Linked DNA regions of Sus scrofa. The protein of the gene in region 1 interacts with the protein of each later gene in a pairwise test. Links are inferred from orthologs where the notes say so. Each region holds a gene or a part of one and is shown on either strand. Other genes may lie near its edges.

The links.
Region 2: the proteins of TRIM55 (region 1) and USP13 interact in a two-hybrid assay, tested with the Homo sapiens proteins (2 studies listed by BioGRID and IntAct). The link is inferred for Sus scrofa from reciprocal best matches to the Homo sapiens genes TRIM55 and USP13.

Annotation. Positions count from the first base shown.
Region 1 is NC_010446.5:68,525,030-68,537,198, forward strand, and holds the start of TRIM55 (tripartite motif-containing protein 55), read right to left. Parts: upstream 5,899-12,169; 5' UTR 5,717-5,898; coding exon 5,549-5,716; intron 5,029-5,548; exon of another isoform or gene 5,024-5,028; coding exon 4,851-5,023; intron 1-4,850. UniProt on the Homo sapiens protein: E3 ubiquitin ligase that plays an important role in regulating cardiac development and contractility, muscle growth, metabolism, and fiber-type differentiation.
Region 2 is NC_010455.5:117,780,244-117,791,782, reverse strand, and holds part of USP13 (ubiquitin carboxyl-terminal hydrolase 13), read right to left. Parts: intron 9,966-11,539; coding exon 9,840-9,965; intron 8,768-9,839; coding exon 8,614-8,767; intron 6,161-8,613; coding exon 5,986-6,160; intron 1-5,985. UniProt on the Homo sapiens protein: Deubiquitinase that mediates deubiquitination of target proteins such as BECN1, MITF, SKP2 and USP10 and is involved in various processes such as autophagy, endoplasmic reticulum-associated degradation (ERAD), cell cycle progression or DNA damage response.

The DNA.
Region 1 (12,169 bases):
ATAAGATTACAATTTAAAATATACTTCCTGCTTTGAGCCCTTAACAAAAATATTTGAATACCATTGATACTGATGGGTGGCATCATGGAGTTGCAGCCCCAGGACTCAGAGAAAAGCAGAGCATGTGCTTATTTCCATCTGGAAGTCACTGGGTAACTGTCAAGTGCTTGAGGTTGGGCTGACTTTGGGCGAAGCCCTGGGTGTGGTGAGGAAGTTGTATGGACTTCCAGCTTCAAGATTTCAGAATCTGATTTTGGCAAAAGGCTTTTACACCTGGTTGCATAGGATATGTTTTCCAGGAAGCCTCCTGACTGATTTCTGCCACACGCTTGGAAGTCAACTAAGGAAAGTAAACTCCACCCCTGAGAAAATGATTCCATGTCCCAGGTCTGTTTCTGCCACTAGAATGTGAGCGCCATGAGGGCAGAGGCCGTGGCCTGTCTTCTTCTTTGCCAGATCCCCACTGTGCACAGCGGTGCTTTGCATAGAGTGGCTACTCAGTAAATATTTGTTGAATGAATGAGTGAGAAGTGAAAGGGAACTTGCCAATTAGTGGACAGTATTCCCTGGGCTCAACCATAAAACCGCTCATCTGGAGAAAGCTTGTGACCGTGAGAACGCTTGGTCACCTGGCTCTCCTGAGTGGCAAAGGAAGAGACCAGACAGCACCTGAAGACTCCATTTATAAATGACAAAGCCCTTGAGGGTTATCCAAAGGCTGGGAGGGGCGAGATGGTCTTTGGTCAAAGGCTGCTCCACCTCTTAAACCTTCCCTACTGGGTACCTCCACCTGGTGATAAATGTCAAGCAAGTGTCTGGAGCACAGTTGGTGGAAGGGGACACAGCTGACGGCAAGGCTGCAGCTCTCTTCTAGGTGTTTCCTCAGGGCAGTCTGTGGCCCGTGTACTGTTCTAGGGTCAGCAGCAGGGACCAGAGATGACATTGTAGAGCTCAGATATTTTCAGTGTGTCCAACACTAAGGTGGAAACAGCCATCAGCTCTTCATTTAGCTTCGGATGGTGATGACTTTTTCATAATGCCATAAGACATGAGGACTTCCTCCAATGTTCCTTATAGGTTTTTCCTGTTTAGATGGCAGCGCAGGGGCAGAGACACCCCCCACTTACAAGTGGGTGTATAAGGAAAACCTTCAGACCCCTTAAAACACCTAACAGACTTGGGACGGGCATGGCATGTAGAGATGTAAAGGCAGCTTCATGAGGCGAGGGTGGCTGAACTCTCAGTTGTGGTTCAGGGCACTGGTGGTGGCCCCCAGCTGTTCAGTGCAGGCTCCGCTCAGGGTGTGTGTAGCCTGCTTTCTGCTAAGTGGCTGGGACCAATCCTCAGGTTTCCTGAAGGGTGGGCATCTGATGTGGATGAGGTGTTCCTGGCAGTACCTTTACAGTTAAGCTGATCTCAAAGCCTGCCTCCAGCTCAGTTTCTCCATGTGGTGGCTACGTGGCCTTAGTTGTCTAGAGTTCCTGCAGCTCTTTCAGGATCAGCTTTTACTCGTATCTGAAAATTGGACTAGGGGTCTGTCTTCTAATCAAGTATGACACAGTGAACACGTGAATTTATGTGTTCCTTGCTGAAATCCCACTAAAATGAGAGTAAGGGAATCAAAAGGTATAAATCAATAAGGACAGAGAGTTCCCTGGTGGCCTAGTGGTTAGGACTTGGAGTTTTCCCAGCTGCAGCCCAGGTTCAATCCCTAATCTGGGAACGGAGATCCCACAAGCTGCTACATGCTACAGCCAAAAAATAAATACAGATTTAAAAAAAAATAAGGACAAAAATGAGCAAAATGAAAGCAGAGAAGAGATGTCAACCAAGTGCTGAAAATTGGGACCATCTGGATGAACGGAGGTGACCTGCCTGAGCTGCACTGTAGTTGTGCTGAGAGCCTGCAGGGGAGAAGCGTACAGGGAGCAAGCTGCTCCCCCTGCGAAGGCCCTGGGGCTGCAGAGGCCACGCACTCGGGGGGCGGGAGTGTGGAGAGGCTGGAAAGAAGAGGACTTTTTGCACATTTGGGGGATTACTTGAAGGCATGCTCCCTAAAGCAGTAGATAAAACCAACAAAGAGGTCAACCTCGAGCCAGAAACAAGGGCTTCAAGCCAGGGGAGAGGAGGTGAAGCCCAGCCACGCAAGGGCTCAGTCCTCCCTGTCTACAGTTGCAAAGTCGAGGACTAGGAGCAGACTAGCAGCATACTCCTCCCCTGTCACTGGGTGACAAATGGCCAAAGAACAGCTGAAAGAGTTAAATGTGGTTCCCTCAGTGCTCAAAGAGAGAGTAGGGCAGAAAATGCAGCCCTGGAGTTCCGGTCATGGCTCAGTGGTTAACAAATGCAACTAGGAACCATGAGGTTGAGGGTTCGATCCCTGGTCTTGCTCAGTGGGTCAAGGATCCAGCGTTGCTGTGAGCTGTGGTGTAGGTTGCAGATGGGGCTCGGATCTTGAGTTGCTGTGGCTCGGCAGCTACAGTTCTGATTAGACCTCTAGCCTGGGAACCTCCATATGCCGCAGAAGCGGCCCAAGATATGGCAAAAAGACAAAAAAAAAAAAAAAATGCAGCCCTCATTTGAGGTCTTGTAGTGCTATTGGAATGTTTAAAATTATGCATGTGCATAGGAATTACTTTGACTAAAATTTTTTAATATTTTAATAAGGTGTTAATAATAATAATAACTACAATCTCACATGATTATTATGAGAATTAAGGAATTACACATGATTCATGTGTCTAGCAGCCTGAACAGTGGCTGACACATATTCAACACATAATTGTTTTACTTTCTGTGTTTTACAGTTACTCGTTATTATGTTCATTATTAATATTAGTGAAATTAGTTCCTTCTCTCATCATCCCACTCCCAAACTGTGGCTAGTTCAGCACCAGGCAGAATGATAGGTTAGAAGGCCAGGTTTCATTGAGACCTACCATCTCCAGCCATTCTGTGGGAAGCCAGACTGGACCAGCCTCCTCCCCTATCTGCGCCCACCCTGACCATGGGCCAGAGTCAGTTCATTTCACTCTATGTATCCTCGTTATTCCAGAGTCACCTAACATACCCTGGGCCTTAGGGTTCTGGGCTGGTAAATCTGCCAGCCTCCAGGGAACAACTGGGTTTATGTTCAAACATGTGCCCAAGCCCTCTGTACAATTTGTGGTTTCGCCACTAAGTAAAAATGTCCCAAAGGCAAGTCTCAACTTCCAGAAACACCAGCATAAGAAGAATTTGATAATCACAAAAACACTGCTAGTCTACTCAGTCATGAGTTTCGTTGTTGGAAGTTTGGTTCATTGCTTTTATGCAGCTTGTTCACCCGGGCACTGTATTTGGCAGTCGCGCTGCACAGACTTTAAAGCCAGGATGTGTCTTGTCATTTTACTACTGCTACAAATTTTTAACATCTCCTCTTTTCTGGATTACATAACAATTACTATTATTATTTCATATCATTCAAGCTCTCACTCTGCAAGTAGCAAAACAGAAAATTATTGCAATAAATAGAATGTGTAAGAAGATTTATGGGGTTGCATAATCACCTGGCACTTAGGGAGCAAGTATTCCGTGCAAACCACTGTACTAGGCACTGAATCAGTTGTTACATAAAGAGCCTTAATGATCAGTTGGTTATTATTTGGCTGGTTAATTTAAGAGACAGTTTATCTATTTGCATCTTAAAGTAATGAAATAAAATGAGATCAAATCGTAATTACAAAAATGGTACTTTCCTTCTTCTCAAGAGATTTTGGAAGCAAGGGAAATAGCCAACTCCATCTCTGCAGTACGTTGTCAGCAATTCTTCCCAGTGCCATCTATATCCTGGCACTATCTAATTTAGTTTTGAATCTTAAGCAGAAATGAATAGCCATAGCGATGATAATAATTATATGTTAGGTTTATAGAACAGCTTTCTTTCTAAGAGCACAAGGCTCCTAGGGCCCTGCAGATGTTCCATGAGTCTACGTCTCCTAATAGGAAGCACAGCGAGGTCATTTCTAGATGGTCTCAGTATTGCTATCTGGTGTTGTGGGCTGCACTGACTGTACCATTAAAAAGGGGGCTCTTCACACCATGCCTTCTAGGAATGAACTCCTGCAGTGTTGTCTTTAGGAAAGGAATACTATAGCCAATGTGATTCGATGAGTAAGATGCACCCACTGCCCCTTTTTAATGACTGATGTGTATACTGCGTGTCAATCAGCAAGTGAATGCCAAGAGCCCATAGTACAACCTAGAGAACAGGGAAACATAACCTGAGCACCCTCTTCTTCTTTTTTTTTTCTTCGTCTCTAAACTTTTAAGTTGCTAAAGCTTAGGACTCTGCCTTGCTTTGCTCCTTTCCAGAGTCAATACCATGACCACGTCAGAGGATTTTCTTTTTATGATTCTCCTCTAGAAAATTTTAAAGTGAGACTGTCTGATCTAAGAGGTTGATTTTGGAAGATGTCATTTCTGTTAATTTCCTATTGTGTAGACTCTGGAGCTCTAAAGGACCTGTGAAGTGCAGAAACGTCTCCTGTGGATGTAATACCAGGCTGGGAGCAGGGGCAGCATCATGCCTCTTTCAAGATCACCATCTGGACTGGATTAGTGATAATGAGTTACTTCATTCTTAAATTGATAGAAAAGCATGGGCACCAGCTTCCTTCTCTCCTCCCAAGAGCAACTCTCTCTCCCATTGGTAAGGACTGACTTGGAAAAACATTTTCCTATAAAACAATTAGCCCGTGATTGGCAAACAAGCATTCAGTATAGCGACCCACTAAAACAAACAAATAAACAAAAGCAAGCTTCCAACGTGTTTGACACGGCCGGCGGGGGCAGGGGAGGGGGGCGCATACCTGGTGGACTCTTGCTTGTAGATGTCAATAATATTCTCCACCAGCAGGTTTCTCTGAAGCCCGTATATCCCATGTCTGTCCAAAACCACTTCGTGTCTGCAGGATGGGCAGCGGAATCGGCCCCCCGAGGCCACAGTGGTGCCTCCTCTTGTGGGCAAGTACGGGTTAGAGGCCTGTTCTTGCCGAGCAAGAAAAGAGGAATTGAGCATTGCCACAGGTAGCTTTCCTGGGACCTCCTTTCCCTCTCAGTTACTACAAACAACATCAACTCCTTGCTGGGAGATAGTAACTGGTCCCAAAACACAGGACCAACCCTCACCCATGGTCAACTGCAATGTGCCATTTTCAGCATGAGGTCCTTTTCCACCTAACGTTTTCATAACCAAAAGTTCCAGCCAGAAACTCCAACAGTAATGCCTTGGGCAGTAATTCATTTACAATTTTGAAACAGATTCAATGTTTCTAAAAGGACAAATATGATTCTTAATATTTTAATAAAATTAGATTTGAGAGCCAGGAGGAGGCTGATGGCAAAGCACAAAGCAAATCACTTTTAAAAATGGTCTTTCTTTTTGGTTGTTGTTTTAAATAAATGCAACCTTAGAACGCTTCCTAGAGAAATTCACCTCAGACTTAAGCACTTGATTGGGAGATGAGAACATTTTTTCCCTCTACCCCTAGATTCCAAACAAACCTACCTGGAAAATGTCACTGGCACATTTCCTGCACAGGTTGTGCTGGCAGGGAAGAATGACCACGGGCTTTGTGAACATCTCTAGGCAGATGGGGCAAATGAGTTGCTTCTCCAAGTTATCCATGGTCTGCTGCTCTTTGGAAAAAGACTTGTAATTCAAAGATGCGCTCATCTCCTGGCCGTCCCCGTGTGCACTGCCAGGGAAAGCGTGCTTCGAACGGTTTCGGCGAGTGATTCCTGGAAATAATTCCAAGGATTGTACAATCAAGCGTCCTTTACGTTTCTTTTGGTGGAGGACATTGTTTCAGGCTGGGGTTCAGAGCAGTGCTCGAGCTGTTTTTAGCAGCCGAGGGTCACGTGACAGCTGGCTGACTTCTCCATATAAGCCAGTGACAGGAGGATGGATTCTGACAGGTGACAGGGAACAGGGGCCAACATTCCTGGCCCAAGGAGTGAAGAGAGTGGGTGGGAAGGAGGACTGCAAAAGCCATTTAGACAGGGGTTGTGAGGAGCGGGAGGTGCCGCTGACAGTTGTCAACAACAAATGGGAATGTTCGTGCCGAGTCACTGAGCTATGCCCTCTGTGAGCACTCAATAAGGACTCGGTGACGGGCTTCTCCAGGACTGGGGAGAATGTCATCCAAGTAGAACGAAAGCCATTTCTGTGTTGAGAATTTAGGAAGCCAGTCACCAAAAGGAGCAATGACCCCCCTGCCTGAGGTGAAAACAGACAAAACAGGTCCTGAAGAGCATCATCCTGGCTTCACAAAGGTAGTCATCTAAAAAGCCTCGCTTCGTCTTAACCACTTCCTCTTTGTGAGGGTCAGGAAATGCGAAAAATTCCAACTTAAAAACTGATTGCTAATCTTTTCACCATAGGAGGCTCCACAAAATTTTAAAATATCCAAATGCCACTTGATGATCCAGGTTTTTTTAGAAGTTGTGAAAGAAAGCTCTAGTGTGCGTTTCCCTCCCTTTTGCCTACTCCTCTTTCATCCTATACCCCACCCCCACCCCCAAAATGCCCAGAAAATTGGACAGCCTTTAAACATTTAAATTTAGTTTCCATCGACAATCAGTAATACAGTAGTAACTGGGACATGGGGTCAGACCCCTTATTTCGTTTTGCCACACAGTGGGGAACAGATGGCAGGGCCATCTTCAGTGGACATGAAAACCGAGTCCTGCTTCCAGATCTGGGTTTTATCTGGTCTGAAATACCTATACCCCTTGGCATTTGTCTCACTTACCAAGGTGATTTTTTTTTTTTTAATGATAGTTTCTCTGGCCATTTCCTGGACTGTTTCTTGAGCCATCAGTTTCAGTTCTGATATTTGCCGGGATTTTGTGAAACCACTGTTTCAGCTATATGTTTTGTTTAAATATTTAAAATCAGATCAAAAATGAAAAAGAAACACGTCTATTTTTTATGTGCTAAATTTGCAGTTTTATTTCTCCTTGATTTTAAAAACCTCCTGCAATGAACACCTTGTGTTAGCACATCCCCAGCGTGCACTTAATTACCAGCAAAGAGTAGGGGGCTGTGACTGGTCATGGGTGCCCTTCATGCTAGTGCACTGAGCGCTTACTGAGAATCTAATAAGCTCTATTAACAAATAATAAGTTACGCGTATTCATAAACCTTTCAGAGATCTTTGGAGAATTTTCTTATTCCTTTCAATAGCTTTTTAGCAACTACAGCGAAGGAGAGAACTGGTGACATTTTTTTAGTGAGTAATTAGTTCACCTAGCTGAGGCGTTAACTGTGTTTATTATCACATGGGCTGTGATGGTCTGAGCAAGACATGAGAACTCTTTTCTAAACAAAATGAAGTTTCTATTGTAAAAGACCTTGCAACCTCAGGAAAAGCACTTAAATGAGTAATGTACATTGTAGCCAAGCCTATCCTTTTAAGAGGAAATCATTCCCTCAAAAAATACTGGTTGAGGAGTTCCTGTTGTGGCTTAGTGGGTTACAAACCCAAGGACAAGGGTTCGATCCCTGGTCTTGCTCAGTTAAGGATCTCATGGGTTAAGGATCTGGCGTTGCCATAAGCTGTGGTGAAGGTTGAAGACCTGGCTCGAATCTGGTGTGATGTGGCTGTGGTGTAGGCCAGCAGCTGTAGCTCTGATTTGACCCCTAGCCTGGGAACTTCCATAAGCCACACCTGCGGCCCAAAAAAATATATATTGGTTGAGCGTTTCTCAGGTGTCTCTATTGTGTTCGGCTCTGGGGATTGAAAACTGAATAAGACACAAGTCACTGTCCTCAAGGAACTCAGTCTGATATATAGCAGAGATAAAACATGCATATACAGAACCACAGTCCAAAGAACATGTGACAAAAACTGCAGGATGTGGAGGAGTCAGGAGGGCTTCATGGGTGGGGTGGCATTTGAGTTGATCCACTGAGGAACTTAGATGTTGATGGGCCTGTTGTTGCAGGGGACATAGGTGGAGCTTTCCAAGAGAAGGCACAGAAGCAAAGACAGGAGTGCAGGGAAAGCTCAGAGCAAATGGTGCTTTGGGCTGGAGTACAGAGCATGCTGCTGGCACACTGGCAGCCTGTGGACACTGTGCTGAAGAGTTTTTAACACTTAATAAATTAGACAACAGGAAGTCGTTGAGAGTTTCCCTGAGAGCTCTGCATTGGTTACATTTATCTCAGTGGTGGCTGGGATGGGCGAGGGTGAAGGTGACCTGGCTAATGACCAGATGGGAGATTGTTGCCAGTAGCCTAGGTGAGAGGTCAGATGCCCTGGCACCGGGCGACGGCAGTGGGAAAGGAAAGGAGGAAGTGGACTCTGGCAGCGACGAAAGTAAAATCCACAGAGGTGACTCAGATGCCTGAGCCTGAGCAACCACGGGGATGCAGTGAGAAGCTGCACAGTGAGTCAGGAGAGCCAGCTCCCATGTCTGCCTCGCTGGCTGATCCTGGGAAAGTGACCTCACCTAGCTATATTTCAGTCCTTTCATCTCTGAGTGGGATTCATAACCTAACTTAGCAGTTTTGTAGAAAAACCACTCTGTACCAGCACGAATTTTGACATTGAGACTCCCCAGTTAAATTACTTGCTGTAGAGTTGTGCTCTCTCCTCTGCTCTCTGTTATTCTCTGCTCCTTCTTGATCTCTGCCTTTGATCTGGCTTTGAAACTGCTCCTGGAAGCTACACAGGGAACCAGTGCAAATCCCACAGGAGGAAGAGCCAAGTTGATGGCTGAGAAGCGCCTTCCCCTCCTCATCCTCTTTCCTCTGTTCCTTGCTCCTCCCCTCTCTCAGAGACCAGCCGTCTGGGATTGGGGGATGTGAATTGGGAGTGGGACAAGGCGGGCGGGGGGGGGGCAGAAAATTTTTGTCTGCTCCCAAATCATCCAGAATCTGAGAGATGGGGAAAAATTCTGGACCTATATCAGAATTGAAGTCACCTTCAAGGCTCTGGGATTTGGAATGGACTTGGGCCTCCACGGAGGTGTGGAAACTAGCTTAGTCTCCCGAAGGTGGCCTGGATTTTATGGGGGTGTACAACTTCCTCACCTCTCCTACCCACCCCACCCCACCCCCACCTAGCACAGGGGGTTGAGGCCAACCAGGGGCAACCACACAGGACATTGCCACAGTTTGAGGTGCGCTGTGCCAGGGGTACAATCAGATACATTGAGAAGTGGAAGCAAAACCATCGTGGCTCTCACTTTCTCCAGAAGTTTCCCAATTCCCTCATCAGTCAGAGGAAGGAAGATGGATCCTAAGTACCCGAGTTTATACCTAACAGTGGAGTTGGCACTGAGGGCTGACAATAGACAGAGAGGACTCTTGACCTCTTTCAGCCTCTAGCTACCAGGCCAAGGGAACTCAGGCTTAAGGGTCCAGGGCATAGGAGTGAAGTGTAGACCTCAGTGTGTGCTTCATCTCAGGAAGGGAGGCAATGAGGTTCTAAACTCTCCTGCTTTTAGTACCAACACAAACATAGATATTTGCAGAGTACCAGTCACTTCTTAGAATAGACGTCTGTAATAGATATTATTATCTCCATTGAGTCAACTGTGGCTCCGTGAAATTAAGTAGTTGCCCAGAGTCATATGGGCAACTAGTTGTGAAGCAGATTCAAAGACACTTCTTTTGACTACAGAGCATGTGACCTCATTCACTAAGCTCCACTGCACTGTCCAGAGCCTGCAGCACACTGTCCATTAGAATTTTCTGCAATCGGGAATTCCTGTCATGGCGCAGTGGTTAAAGAATCCGACCAGGAACCATGAGGTTTCAGGTTCGATCCCTGGCCTTGCTCAGTGGGTTAAGGATCCTGCGTTGCCATGGCTGTGGTGTAGGCCGGCGGCTACAGCTCCGATTCGACCCCTAGCCTGGGAACCTCCATATGCCGCGGAAGTGGCCCAAGAAATGGCAAAAAGACAAAAAAAAATAAAAATAAAAATAGAATTTTCTGCAATGATGTAAAATTTCTGTATCTGTGCTGTCCGACCTCTAGCCATAAGTAGCTATCGAGTACTTGAAATGTGTATAGTGAGACTCAAGAACTGAATGTTTAATTTCATTTATTTTAAACTTAGGTTTAAACAGCCATATGGGGCTAGTGGTTACCGTATTGGACACCAGCCCTAAAACATGAGATATTAAAAAATCTTTGGGGAAAATTGAAATGTGTATAAAGGATTCTCCAGCAGGAACTGGGTCTACCTCATTGGTAGATTTTGTACTTTCTGATTAGGGTGACATGAAACTCCTCTAACCCCAGAGTAGTAAAAAAAGCATCATCAACTGTAGATTCCAGCTTGCAAAACAAGACAGAGCAAGCAGTCTGGGGATAGGAGGCATTAGTAAGCGCCCAGGGAATAGTATCAGGAATGCTAGAATGTCCTCAGCATTTCCTTTACCCATGTTCTCTTTGTCTCTTGCACACAGGTTCTCTAGGTCTCTTGCACACAGGTAATTGCAAACCCATGTACTTAAAAATAACCTAGGCTTAGCTCAAGGAACTGGGTAGTCATTCCTCAAACAAGAAAGATGAAAAGTGGAGCTAAAAAAAAAAAAAAAAAAAAGATAGATACTTGATGTTCCCCTTGTTGCTCAGCAGGTAAATAATCTGTCCATGAGGATGGGAGGGTTCGATCATTGGCCTTGCTCAGTGGGTTAAGGATCTGGCATCGAAGATGTGGCCAGGATCTGGTGTTGGTGTAGCTGTGGTTGTAGGCGATTTACCCCCTAGCTCAGGAACTTCCATGTGCAGGTGCAGCTGTTAAAAAAAAAAAAAAAAAAAAAAGATACATCTTAAAAGAAAAAAAGATACAGTTTGAAGTGAAGCAGTGAGGCAGAGTGCAGTCCTGGTGGAGGAGAAAATGAGAGGAACTAGAAGGCTGATCTTGCCTCTGGCTCAGCCTCCAAGATAGAGGAAAGTGAATTCTTCCTTCGCGTATCCACCAGAAGAGAGAAAGCTGGTGGCTAGTGGCTAGCTAAATCATTAAAACAGGGAGAGAAACACCAGATGATGTGGATATGGTGGATATGGAGACAGAGTTGGGGATTGTGGAAAAAGATTTAGTTAGACGGCAACACTAGGTTATGGGTGGACTGAGACTTTCAGGTCAACTTCAGCACTAGTTAAGTCACCTAAAAATTTAAAATTTAAAATAAAGCTCCTAAAAATGAAATCCTATGCTTAAAAAAAGAGGCCAATGCTTAATATTTTGCAGACCTGGTCCTCTTAAACAAAGACGAGGGAGTTCCCTGGTGGCTCAGTGGGTTAAGGATCCAGAGTTGTCACTGCTGTGGCTCTGATCACCTCTGTGGTGTGTGAGTTCAATCCCTGGTCCCAGACATGGGCTTGGCCAAAAACAAAAATAAAAACAAGACGGTGAGGTTGTTAATTCTTCTCTGCATTTTCATCCATCCACCCATCCATCCACCCACACATCCATCTCTCCCTTCCTCCCTTGACTAGTGGGAGTGCTCTATCTAGACCAAAGGCAGCACTTCTTTTGTTTTTGTTTTTTTGATTGTTTGTTTTGCAAGGCTTTTTTTGGCTATTCCCATGGTATGCGGAAGTTCCTGGGCTAGGGATAGAACCCGCGCCACTGCAGCAGCTCAGAGCTGGTTTTTCAAGTACCAGGCTCTGTTGATCAGTCCTGCGGGATATAACCCATCTGACCACAGGGGACATAATGTTATTTGGGAGGAAGGTGGTATCCTGGAGCTCAGAGTGTGATCCAAAAAAGCACTTTCTAACCACTATTCAACTTAAGAATTCGCCTCATACAACAAATATACTAGGGGAAAAAATTACACATACTGGGAAAAAATACAACCCAGGACTCTCAAGGAAAAGGATTCTTGCATTCTTACACCAAGGACCCAACTCATGACGTCTACAAAATACTTAACATTCTCCTTTTGTCTACATTGTGAGTCTTTCAGTTCAGCTGTTTTTCTCGCAATAGGCAGGCTGAATGTGTGATTTAAAAATTTTTAATGAACAGAAACATTTTTATAAAATCTAAAATAAAAAATTAACTGACTTGAAAAGAACTTAACAGAAGCTAATGTTTCTTTCATTAGATAGTTTGCAAAGTTCTGGCTGAAAGCTTTTTTTCTTCTTGATAATTACTCCTCCAA
Region 2 (11,539 bases), on another chromosome or scaffold:
CTCCAGGTTTTCCTATCTCCTGAGAAGCATTAACACACATCATTCTAAAATATAGCCGCATCTCCAATTTCCCCAAAAAACCAACAAACTCCATCTGATATTTTCAACTACTGTAAAAATGTCACCTCTCTGACCCTTTCCTCTTACCAGAGTAACTTAAAATCTGGAAAACGTAACAATGAAATCAACCAAAAGTCATCAGTAAATCAATGATTTCCAAAATGTGGTTCAGGAACCCTAAGACTCTTATGTGTTGCTCTGTGGTCAGTATCTGGGTGAGGAATCAGCTGGAAACACCATGGAGTACAGGGCAGTGGAGGGATCTCGACACTGGAGGGTGCCGAGGGTGGTCGGGGGGTGGATAATTTAACACATCACTTTGTTATGGATAACTACTAACCTAAGAGTACCAGAAAGCAGGTTGGATGATGGCCACCTTATATATGCCCTGCTGGGTAAACATTCCTTACTCATCTTGCTAACCTCCATAAGGTCTCAAGTTGAATCACACATGCAGTAACGAATTTGAACAAGTTTATATTGAGCAATCTCAAAATTAATACTTGGCATTCATTAATTGCAGGTTTGGGACATCGAGTGTGTTAGTTAAATCCAGCAATGTTATAAACTATGCAGCACTTACCCTTTTATTCCTAAATTTAATTCCTGGAATTAAAATTTTTCTTGAAAAGTTTTATGTTAAGGAGGACCATTAGAATATAAATCATTCAAAAAGGCCTAAATAGACACAGAGCAAATTTACCTCAAAGAATTGTTATGGGAACTGAGGACATAAAGTGCTTAGAATAGTGCCTGACAACACTGCTGCCTTGTCTATGACAATCTGGTATCATTATTTAAAATATATCAATTCTTAAATGTCCATCGACAGATGATGGATTAGGAAGATGTGGTATATATACATAATGGAATACTACTCAGCCATAAAAAATAACACAACAATGCCATTTGCAGCAACATGGATGAAACTAGAAACTCATACCAAGTGAAGTCAGAAAGCCAAAGACAAATACCATATGATATTACTTATATCTGGAATCTAAAATATGGCATAAATGAACCTTTCCACAGAAAAGAAACTCATGGACTTGGAGAACAGACTTGTGGTTGCCCAGGGGGAGGGAGAGGGAGTGGGATAGACTGGGAGTCTGGGATTTATAGATGTAGACTATTGCATTTGAATGGGTAAGCAATGAAATCCTGCTGTATAGCACTGGGAACTACATCTAATCACTTGTGATGGAGCATGATGGAGGATAATGTGAGAAAAAATATATATATACATATATGTATGTGTGTGACTCAGTCACTTTGCTGTACAGGAGAAAATGCACAGAACACTGTAAGCCAAGTATAATGGAAAATTTTTTTAAAATAAAAAATAAAAATCATTTAAAAATATATATTTATATCAATTCTTCACTAATTACAATTCAGGAAAAAACACTATAAAAGCCTTAAGAAAAAATATATAAACTGTCCCTCTCCCTAAAATTATTATTTTATTGAAAACCTGGCAACTAAAAAAATGTAATTCTATTCTTTCCATTAAATAGGTTGAAAATGCGATAATCAACCAGTCAAATTGAACCATCCAAGGCTAAAAAGAAAACAATAATGTAATAATTACAGTATATATTTATTCTCCCAGGCACTGTGCAAAGCATTTTATGTAGCTTACCTTGCCTTAATCCTCACCTCAAGCCTATAAAGAAAATACTATTCTTATCCCCAATTTACATATAAGGAAACGGGGTCTTATGGAAGTGAGGTCACTGAGCCAAGGTCACACACCAATAGTTTCTATCTACACTGAGGATTCAAATGCTGCCAGTCCACTAAAGCTTATGCTCTGGAACTGCATACCATGCTTTTCTCTTCCTAAATGATAAAGGTCAGAACAAAATCTCTCCCTACTGACCCTTAACCTGTAAGCTGATTAAGGGGAGGAACTAGGTCTTATTCAACTCATTGCTGACAATACACTGGCTGAGCAATAATATTCACTGGGTAAACTTTCCAGTCACTAATGTTCTTCCTGGTCACTGTCTGTTCATGACCAATTAAGGAAAGGGCCTTTATGTCTGGTGACCACTGACCCAAGATCTACCAAGAGGATATCTCCTGTCTCTTCCTAGGCTTTCAGGATCTGGGTCTAAGGCAGAAAAATTCAAGGCCCCAAATTAACATAATAAGGAGATCATGTCTGTATTGTTAGAAATAAGAAGAGAAAAAGATCTTTTAGAAAGCCACTAAACTGGTTTCCCCAAAACTAATATTTGAAACATGATACGGCATAATAAGGAATAAACAAGGTTCTATAAAGATTATAAAGATGGAGAGTTCCTGTTGTGGTGCAGTGGAGACAAATCCAACTAGTATCCCTGAGGATGCGGGTTTGATGCCTGGCCTCACTCAGTGGGTCAGGGATCCAGTGCTGCCATGAGCTGTGGTGTAGGTGGCAGATGCAGCTCAGATCGGGCGTGGCTGTGGCGTAGGCCGGCAGCTATAGCTCCAATTTGACCCCTGGCCTGGGAACTTCACTTACTGGCCAATTAGTTCCTTTTATCTCCTCCTCTGTACAATGGGAAGAATCATGTACCAACCTCAGGGTAGTACTAAGAGGATTAAGTGATAACTGATGGGAAGCATTTATCACATGCCCTAAATGGTAGTTGCTCTATTATCCTAAAACACTGTTTTCCTTTCCCACAATGACCAGTTTATTAACATTGTGATGCATCTAGTATACGTTTTTTTCATATACATAAACCATAAGTGTATGTATGTAAAAGACAGAGAAAAGAAAAAACACATTTAGGAGTTCCCGTCGTGGCGCAGTGGTTAACGAATCCGACTAGGAACCATGAGGTTGCGGGTTCGGTCCAGGCCCTTGCTCAGTGGGTTAACGATCCGGCGTTGCCGTGAGCTGTGGTGTAGGTTGCAGACACGGCTCGGATCACGCGTTGCTGTGGCTCTGGCGTAGGCCGGTGGCTACAGCTCCGATTCGACCCCTAGCCTGGGAACCTCCATTTGCCGTGGGAGCGGCCCAAGAAATAGCTAAAAAGACCAAAAAAAAAAAGAAAAAACACATTTAAATCTACTATTAAGGGTTAGAGAAAGCAGAAACCCCTCCTCAAGGATTCTAAATATCATACTAGCACTGCCTACAACTACATATATTTGTAGAATTTGAGGAGACAATAAGATCAGTGAGCATCATTCCTCCATTCAGAGGTCAGAAGTTCCTTGAGTGGTCTTTGCCCCAGAACAGAACACAGGAGAAGAATCCAGATCTCCTGAGCACAGGCCCAGGGGTCAGAGACTGTCTCTGTGGAAAGCTAATGCCCTCAGCTCCACCTTAGAAATGGGCCTTTTCCTAAGGATGAGAAGGCTCCTTCCCAAAGGTCCAGAGAGCATGTCACGCCCTGCACGGCTAAGACATGGGGCCACTTTTCCGAAAAGCAGAAAAGGGTGACCAAGTGGAGAGACCAGTGAAGACCACTCTGCAGTTCACACCTGATGTTGGGGGCTTCCATACAGAATCACAACTAAAGCCCAGAGAGAAAAGGAAAAATGTTTGGGGAATCTTCACCCTACTGTCAATAGTTAAAGTGGAAAAAATAGGAGTTCCCATCGTGGCGCAGCAGAAACGAATCCAACTGAGAACCATGAGGTTGTGAGTTCGATTCCTGGCCTCGCTCGGTGGGTTAAGGATCTAGCGTTGCTGTAAGCTATGGTGTAGGTCACAGATGTAGCTCAGATCTGGCATTGCTGTGGCTGTGGCCAGCAGCAACAGCTCTGATTCGACCCCTAGCCTGGGAACCTCCATGTACCACAGGTGCAGCCCTAAAAAGACAAAAAAAAAAAAAGTAAAAAAACAAAATCTACATGATGTACAACCTTATATGTCAATTATATGTCAGTAAAGCCAAGAGAAAAAAAGACATTGTTTCCACCACTAATATTGAGTGTAGATTTCTAGCTGCCCAAAGATGTGTCCAAGTTGGAATGAAGTGAATCTCTAACGTTCAACATGCCAACTCACTAACCATTATCTGCAAGGACACAAACACACAGACAAACACATATACACATACACAAAACTAAGCAGTCCTAGAATGAAAATTTACCACTCAATAGATAATCAATAACTATTATTAATCTCATTTAGATAGGAAGAAACTTTTTCAAAGAAATTATTTTAAGGAAAAAAATAGCGTTTTTTAGCTTTTGAAGTAGGTTCTTTCTGTTTTCCCATTTTTAAAACATGAAGTCAATCATCTGAAACAGGAATCCTGAGGGATGGCTGTCACGGGAAATAACAGATTCAGGTTTGACTGCTACTTGAGGTAGTGATTAAAAAAAAAAAAAAAAAAACAGCCAGCAGTAGCTCATCCATACTTCCTTCCCCTTCACATCAGCCAGCGCTCGGTCTCAGCCAAGAGGAAAAATTGCTGAAGAATATTTAAAAGCAGCGAGAGACCCAGAGCCTAACTTTTAGACCTCCCCTCTTTTTATCCTACCGTAAGGTCCTCTTTTCCAACTATATGAAATGTGCTGGTAAGGACTCACTTGACTGTATAAAATCAATTAAGGTGTTGGAGTTCGCGTCGTGGTGGTGCAGTGGTTAACGAATCCGACTAGGAACCATGAGGTTTCGGGTTCGGTCCCTGCCCTAGCTCAGTGGGTTAACGATCCGGCGTTGCCGTGAGCTGTGGTGTAGGCTGCAGTCGCGGCTCGGATCCCGCGTTGCTGTGGCTCTGGCGTAGGCCGGTGGCTACAGCTCCGATTCAACCCCTAGCCTGGGAACCTCCATATGCCGCGGGATCGGACCAAGAAATAGCAAAAAGACCAAAAAAAAAAAAAAAAAAATTAAGGTGTCAAATAAGGAAAAAAAAATTTTTTATTTGGCTTTTTTAGGGCCATACCCTTGGAATATGAAAGTTCCCAGGTTAGGGGTGGAATCAGAGCTACAGCTGCTGGCCTACACCACAGCCACAGCCACATGGGATCTGAGCCACATCTGAGACCTGCACCACAGTTCATGGCAACAATGGATCTTTAACCCACTGAGAGAGGCCAGGGATTGAATCCACATCCTCATGGATACTAGTCAGATTTGTTTCTGCTGCACCACAACAAGAATATCAAAATTCTTATGTATCTGAGAGCAAGGCTTTTAGAACACCTGCTGACCACATCCTAAGCAGCTCGTTGGAACAATGCTCAGGATCCCTGATGTCCCCTTTGAGAAACCCTCAGAGCCCCAGCTGCCAGGCAGGACCACAGCCACCAAGTCCTAAGGCAAATCTTTTTTTTGTTTTGCCACACCCACAGCATCTGGAAGTTCCATGGTCAGGAATCAAATCCCAGCCACAGATGCCACCTATGCCACAACTGCACCAACACCAGATCCTTAACCCACGACGCCAAGCTTCAGCAGCAACCTGAGCCACCACAGAGACAACACCAGATCCTTAACCCACTGTGCTACAGCAGGAACTCCAGCAAATCTTTCATTATCAAATTAAAGTCTATCACAGTAGAGTTTAAAAATTGAAGACTCTCAGAAGTATTTATACTTCTGATATCATTCTTGAAGCAGGGAAGGATTCTTGACTACCCCCTCTTGGCCAAAAAAAAAAAAGGCAAATTCCCTAAAGAGGACAAACCACAGCCTGGCTTTTTTTTAAAGGCATCCACATCCTTGCATATGATATAGATTACAACAAGCCTGTTTTACTGTACAAGTCTCATACAAGTGAGGTCTACGACAACTATGGTTGTGTAAATTATAATCCTATTTCACCACACTTGAGTCAAGCATGCCCAGACTCATACAGTGCCTGCCAACCCTCCCTACCACAGTCCCCACCTCTCAAGGTCCCCTCCTTACCCTACTGCCACCACATAAGCGAGTGCAGAAACATTACAAACACACACACACACACACACACTTACTTTACACCCGCAGACTTTGCTTGTAGGGCACTGCTCCAGAAATCATCAACGTTTTCTGGTTCAGAAAAGGCCTGAAGGCAGGCACTAAATGGTATCTTGGCACGCACCAACTCGGGAAGGGGTCTTCTATTTGCTTCTGCTTCCCTTCTCGTTAGTTCATAGGCGATCAACTCATCTAAGCAAAAGAGCAAACAAATGACTTTGCAATCACTTATCTTCTTGAAATAAAAAAGACCCTCTTGGGAGTTCCCATCATGGCTCAGGGGAAACGAATACGAATAGGAACCATGAGGTTGAGGGTTCAATCCCTGGCCTTGCTCAGTGGGTTAAGGATCTGGTGTCATTGTGAGCTGTAGTGCAGGTTACAGATGTGGCTCAGATCTGGTGTTGCTGTGGCTGTGGTGTAGGCCAGTAGCTGTAGCTCTGATTGGACCCCTAGCCTGGGAACCTCCATATGCCAAGGGTGTGGCCCTAAAAAAAAAAAAAACAAAACCCCTTGGACAATGAGCAATCTTCCCTGAAGGTCCTGGGCTGGGACAGGATTGCTTACTTGCTGCCCTCAAAGAGCCACAGAAGCCTGCTCAAAGCTTGTTTAGAGTGGCACCACCAGGCTGCATCAAGCCATTCATAGTTTTTTACCCATTCCGTTTGAGACTGATAGGAGGGAACTATCAACTCCCACCCAAGTGAGGGGGTCAAACCACACATGTGCCATAAGTGATGCATGAACCTGGTCTTTCATTTGTCCAGAAGTCAAGGCTGGTTTAACCACACACCACCCTCAAATCACAAAGCCTTCACACCACAGAATTTCACACTGAAAGAGACCTGAGGGCTCACCTCTTCCTGGGCCTGTCACTACAATTAGAGGTCATGGAGGGTGTGGGCCAAGGAGCAGGAAGAACTACAAGAACTGCAGTTATCCGAGGCACCCAGCCCAAGATTCTAACAAACACTGCCAAGACAACTTCATGCTGGGGTTACCCGACACTGCAGAGAGCAGGGAAGCCAAAGTCAAAATGTTATATAGATTTTGAATGGAACTTTCTGGGAATTTCTTTTGTGTTACCAAAAAAAAAAAAAATCACTCCTGATTTATCAGCTTTTTGGCACACTGATAAACACTTGTGTTTTCTTAAACACATCTGGATATGCTTTTACAATTCATTCCCCAGTCCACAATCAGTTTACAATGTACTTCTATCTAGGATGCTAGCATTAGGCATTCCCAGCAATTTTCTGAGACTAAATCATAAATCTCTTTCCTGAAAAAAAAAAAGTTACCTCTCATAAGCTATCAACAGTCAATTAGAGAAGATCACAGAACTGAGCAGAATATGTAAGTCACTATCCCCAAAGTAGGCAAGAGAAAGTGATGAAGCCTGGTGCTAAAAAGGAAACAAACCACAGACCCCCACCATCATTTCCTTTGTATAATGAATAAGAATTTAAAAACTAGGAGTTCCCATTGTGGTGCAGTGGAAACAAATCCAACTAGGATTCATCCCTGCAGGATCGATCTCTAGCCTCGGTCAGGGGGTCAGAATCTGTAGTTGTTGTGGCCTATGCTGTAGGTTGCAGACACAGCTCAGATCTGGTGTTGCTATGGCTGTGGCACAGGCTGGCAGCTGTAGCTCTGATTTGACCCCTAGCCTGAAAACTTCAATATGCCACAGGTGTGGCCCTAAAAAGACAAATTAAAAAAAAAATTAAGAATTTATAAACTAGTCAAAAGCTGCATGAGTTTATAGAAAATGGAAATCATTCCATCTTAAAAATCATCACAAGAGTGCCTGATGTGGCACAACAGGAACAGGGGCATTTCTGCAGAGCCAGGGCGCAGCTGCAGCTGAGGTCGTGCGGCTTGGATCTGATCCCTGGACTGGGAACTCCATATGCTGTGGGGCAGCCAAAAAAAAATCATCATAATCATCACTTTCTAATTAACACAACTAAGTGACTATCCCCTCCAAAAAAAGAGGAAAAGGTCACCCGGGGAGTGGCTGAACTTTGCAAAAATGACCAGTTCACGGGAGATAAGCAAGTCAGCAGATATTTCTCCTTTTCCTGCTTCTAAGATGTTAATTCTACTAATTCATGAAGAACCAGATCAGACTGATTGAAGGAACCTTCCCCTGAGCCTCCACCTGGTTCCAGTATCTGCCTTCTTCCTGCTTCCTAGGTCCAGAGACCCTCCTAAGGGGCCTCACTCCACAAAGAGCCCTGCCATGCTTTATCCCAGCAGGCATCTTACTCAGCTGTCAAAGCTGGATTATTTACAGAGGCCTCTGCTTGAATGTCTCACATCAAAAAACGCAGTTCTGATCATTTTCCTCAGACTTTACAGTACTTAGGAATGATAATATTAAATTACTAATAATTTCCTCCACATTAAGCTAACTCTAAACCAACCACTGGGTCAAATTTCATAGGTGCCCAAGTAGGTTCCCTGAATAAATCCTCTACAAAAATCTCAGTCAGACGGGGACGGAGGAAAAGCTGAAGAGCTTTTGAAAAGAGCAAGCCAAACACTGGGTCCACTCTTGTTCAGTCAACCATGCATGACTAAACGGCAGTATCTCTGGTGCAAGTTTCTACATGATGAAGTCCATTGCTCATCCCCATTACCCTTGTTGGTCGCCGCCTCCATGGCCACGGGTAACTGCATCAGGTAATCCACCCTCTCCATGTAGCGGACTTTCCGGGTCTGACAGCACTGAATGCGTTCTTCCACCAAAAACCGAAAAACGTCACTTGGGTTTTCTGAGCCAATGCGGTTCCTCTGAAGGTTGGATTATATCAGGTTAGTAAATTCATGAATATTAAGCCCTGAATGAAAATTAGCATAAAATCACACATAAATCTGGTGTAAAGACCTGGTGCTACCAAATGTTCCCTCTGGGCATGCCAGTTCACCAGAGAACTTCAAAGCAAAAGACTGGTATTTACCTAAAGTCCAAACATGGCAGATTGGTCAAATAAATTATAGTTCATCATGTGAATTAACATTATGCAGCCATTAAAAGTCATGGCAGAGACTTTTTCTGACCTAGATAGAACTAGAAGAAAGGAGATGAGGAAACCCAATTAAAGAAAAAGGAGGAAAAAAAAAAAAATCAAGGACTGCCCTGGAAAAACTAATCCATGTATGATACGATTATGTAAATGCACTAATGCAAATTATATAAAAATCAAAAAGAAGTCACGTTATATTCAAGTATGTAATGACATGGCAAAACATTCACAAATGAAAATCAGCATGCAAAGAATTGATTTCACCTGGAAAATCACCAGGGTGGGGGGGTCAGACACCAAAATATCAGCATTGATCATTCGTGGGGCTGGTAGCATGGAGGTTTTGGTTTTCTCCTTTGTGCCTTTCTGTTTCCACAAGGAACACATTTGTCATCAGGAAAAAAAATAGTTGTTTCTTTTCAGAGGGGAAAAAAGCCTTTAATCATGAATTCTCCGTAGCCTTTAAAAACCACAGCATTTAATGTGATTTGCCTCTGCTCTGAGCCAAGAGTGACTGTCTCGGAGTGATGGCAGGAGGACACCAAATACCATGCGGGACTCTCAGGAAGCATGTTGCAGGGACAAAAAAAAAACAAAAACAGCGAATAGAAATAATGGATCAACACTCCTATAACACGTTCAAATTAAGAGGAGAACAGGCAGACCCAGAAGTGCCCAGGAGGGTGATTATATCAAATGGGCCCAGAGGAGGAAGCCCCAAAGAACCAATTCTGAATTAGGTGGGGAGGGGGGCGTTCCAGCCACATCAGCGGGGACTGCATGCAAGGGCGGGGCACACTTCTTACAACTCTTTCCAGCATTTTGAAAGACTGATTCACCTCTACTAGATTCACCAGGTGTAAGAAAAATTCTTGGGCATCCTGCTGTCTGTTGGAAGAGAATTCTGGGTGGCTCTTGCTCACAAAGGCCTTAAACATTCGTGGAGAGATCCCATTCTGTTGAGGCTGAAAAATGAAAATAACCAATTCACAACACTTTCATACACATTAGCAGCACTAAGTGGGAAACAGAGTGGCGATTACCATTAGCCCTGACTTGCAGATAAGAAAACTCAAGCCCACAGAAGCTAAATAGTGATAGTGGCCAACATGCACTGGATGTTGACTATGTACCAGGCATGAGAACAGGACTCTTCCTGCTGACTCAGAACTAAAGGCGTGATAAACACCCCACTTTCTGTCCTTATAGGACTTGCTCCTCAGTGGGCATATGGGTCCATGACAGCCTATTTCAGAGCAGGCTAGTGATGCATTGGCAGGGGGTGGGGAGGGTCCTCTGAAGGAAGTTACAGGAGAGGAGGGCTCTGCAGCCTCTCCCATGTGGGAAGATGAGAGAAACCCTGGTGGAGACTGGGGTACCAGCAAGAAAAACCAATGGCTCCGCGCCCCAGGCAACTGCTGCAGAGCTCCTGGGCTCTGAGTGTACCTGCCTGGGGCTGTTTCTGGAGCAGAACACAGGGAGCTCTCAGGAACTTGCCTTTACCCGGAGAAGCATAGGAGGCTGGCTGCAACTGCCAGGATGGGAAAAGCAGAGACAACTCTGGCTGACAAGGATGTGTGGGCTTCTTCTGGGGCTAAAAGGAGAGCTCAGAAGGCAGTCAGGCCCCGCCAGAGAGGGCACCATATAAGACGATGGGATGGCGGCTGAAGAGGCTCAGGCAGGAGCTGGGATGGGGATATAGAGGTTGTCGGTCTCTAAATCAGAGACGGAACTAAAACCAAGATCCTCTGCCACGTTTATGATGAACCTCTCAATCTAAACTTTACTCCCTTTCTTGTTCCACACTGGTTCCTTCTTAAGATTGAGGAACATCAAAGAAAAAGGTAGACTGAAACCATGTATAAGCCCTTGAGTCCTTGTGGGCTTTTCCTTTTTTTTTTTTTTTTTTTTCGCTTTTTTTAGGGCTGCACCCACAGTATATGGAGGTTCCCAGGCTGGGGGTAGAATCTGAGCTGTAGCTGCCGGCCTACACCACAGCCACAGCAACGCAGGATCCGAGCTGCATCTGTAACCTACACCACAGCTTACCGAAACACCAGATCCTTAACCCACTGAGCGAGGCCAGGGCTCAAACCTGCGTCCTCATGGATTCCAGTCAGATTCATTAACTGCTGAGCCACGACCGAAACTCCTAGTCCTTATGTTTTGAAGTAAAAGGCTTTTCCTTTAACCTCCCAGGCCTCCCCTCAGTTTCAAAAGACTGACTCAAGGGTTAATGATTAGGAAATATTTCTACAGCTAAAAACTAGTTAAAACAGTCTCCATTATGTTATGTCCTTAACCCACTAACTTACTCTAACTGGCTTTTCACAAATAATTTCTTCCTTGCTTAATTGCTTTCTTTTTCTAACGGTTACTTTCTAGTTAGAGTTTTATCACACCTGGTGTTTTCTTTTGAAACACTCCCTAACACCCACATCCTTTTCTGGGCAATCTTCACTGCAAAGCGATGGTCATGATGCGATAACCCCAAAGACCACCAGAAACCATTTACCCAACCCCCTGACTCTGGCCCCGA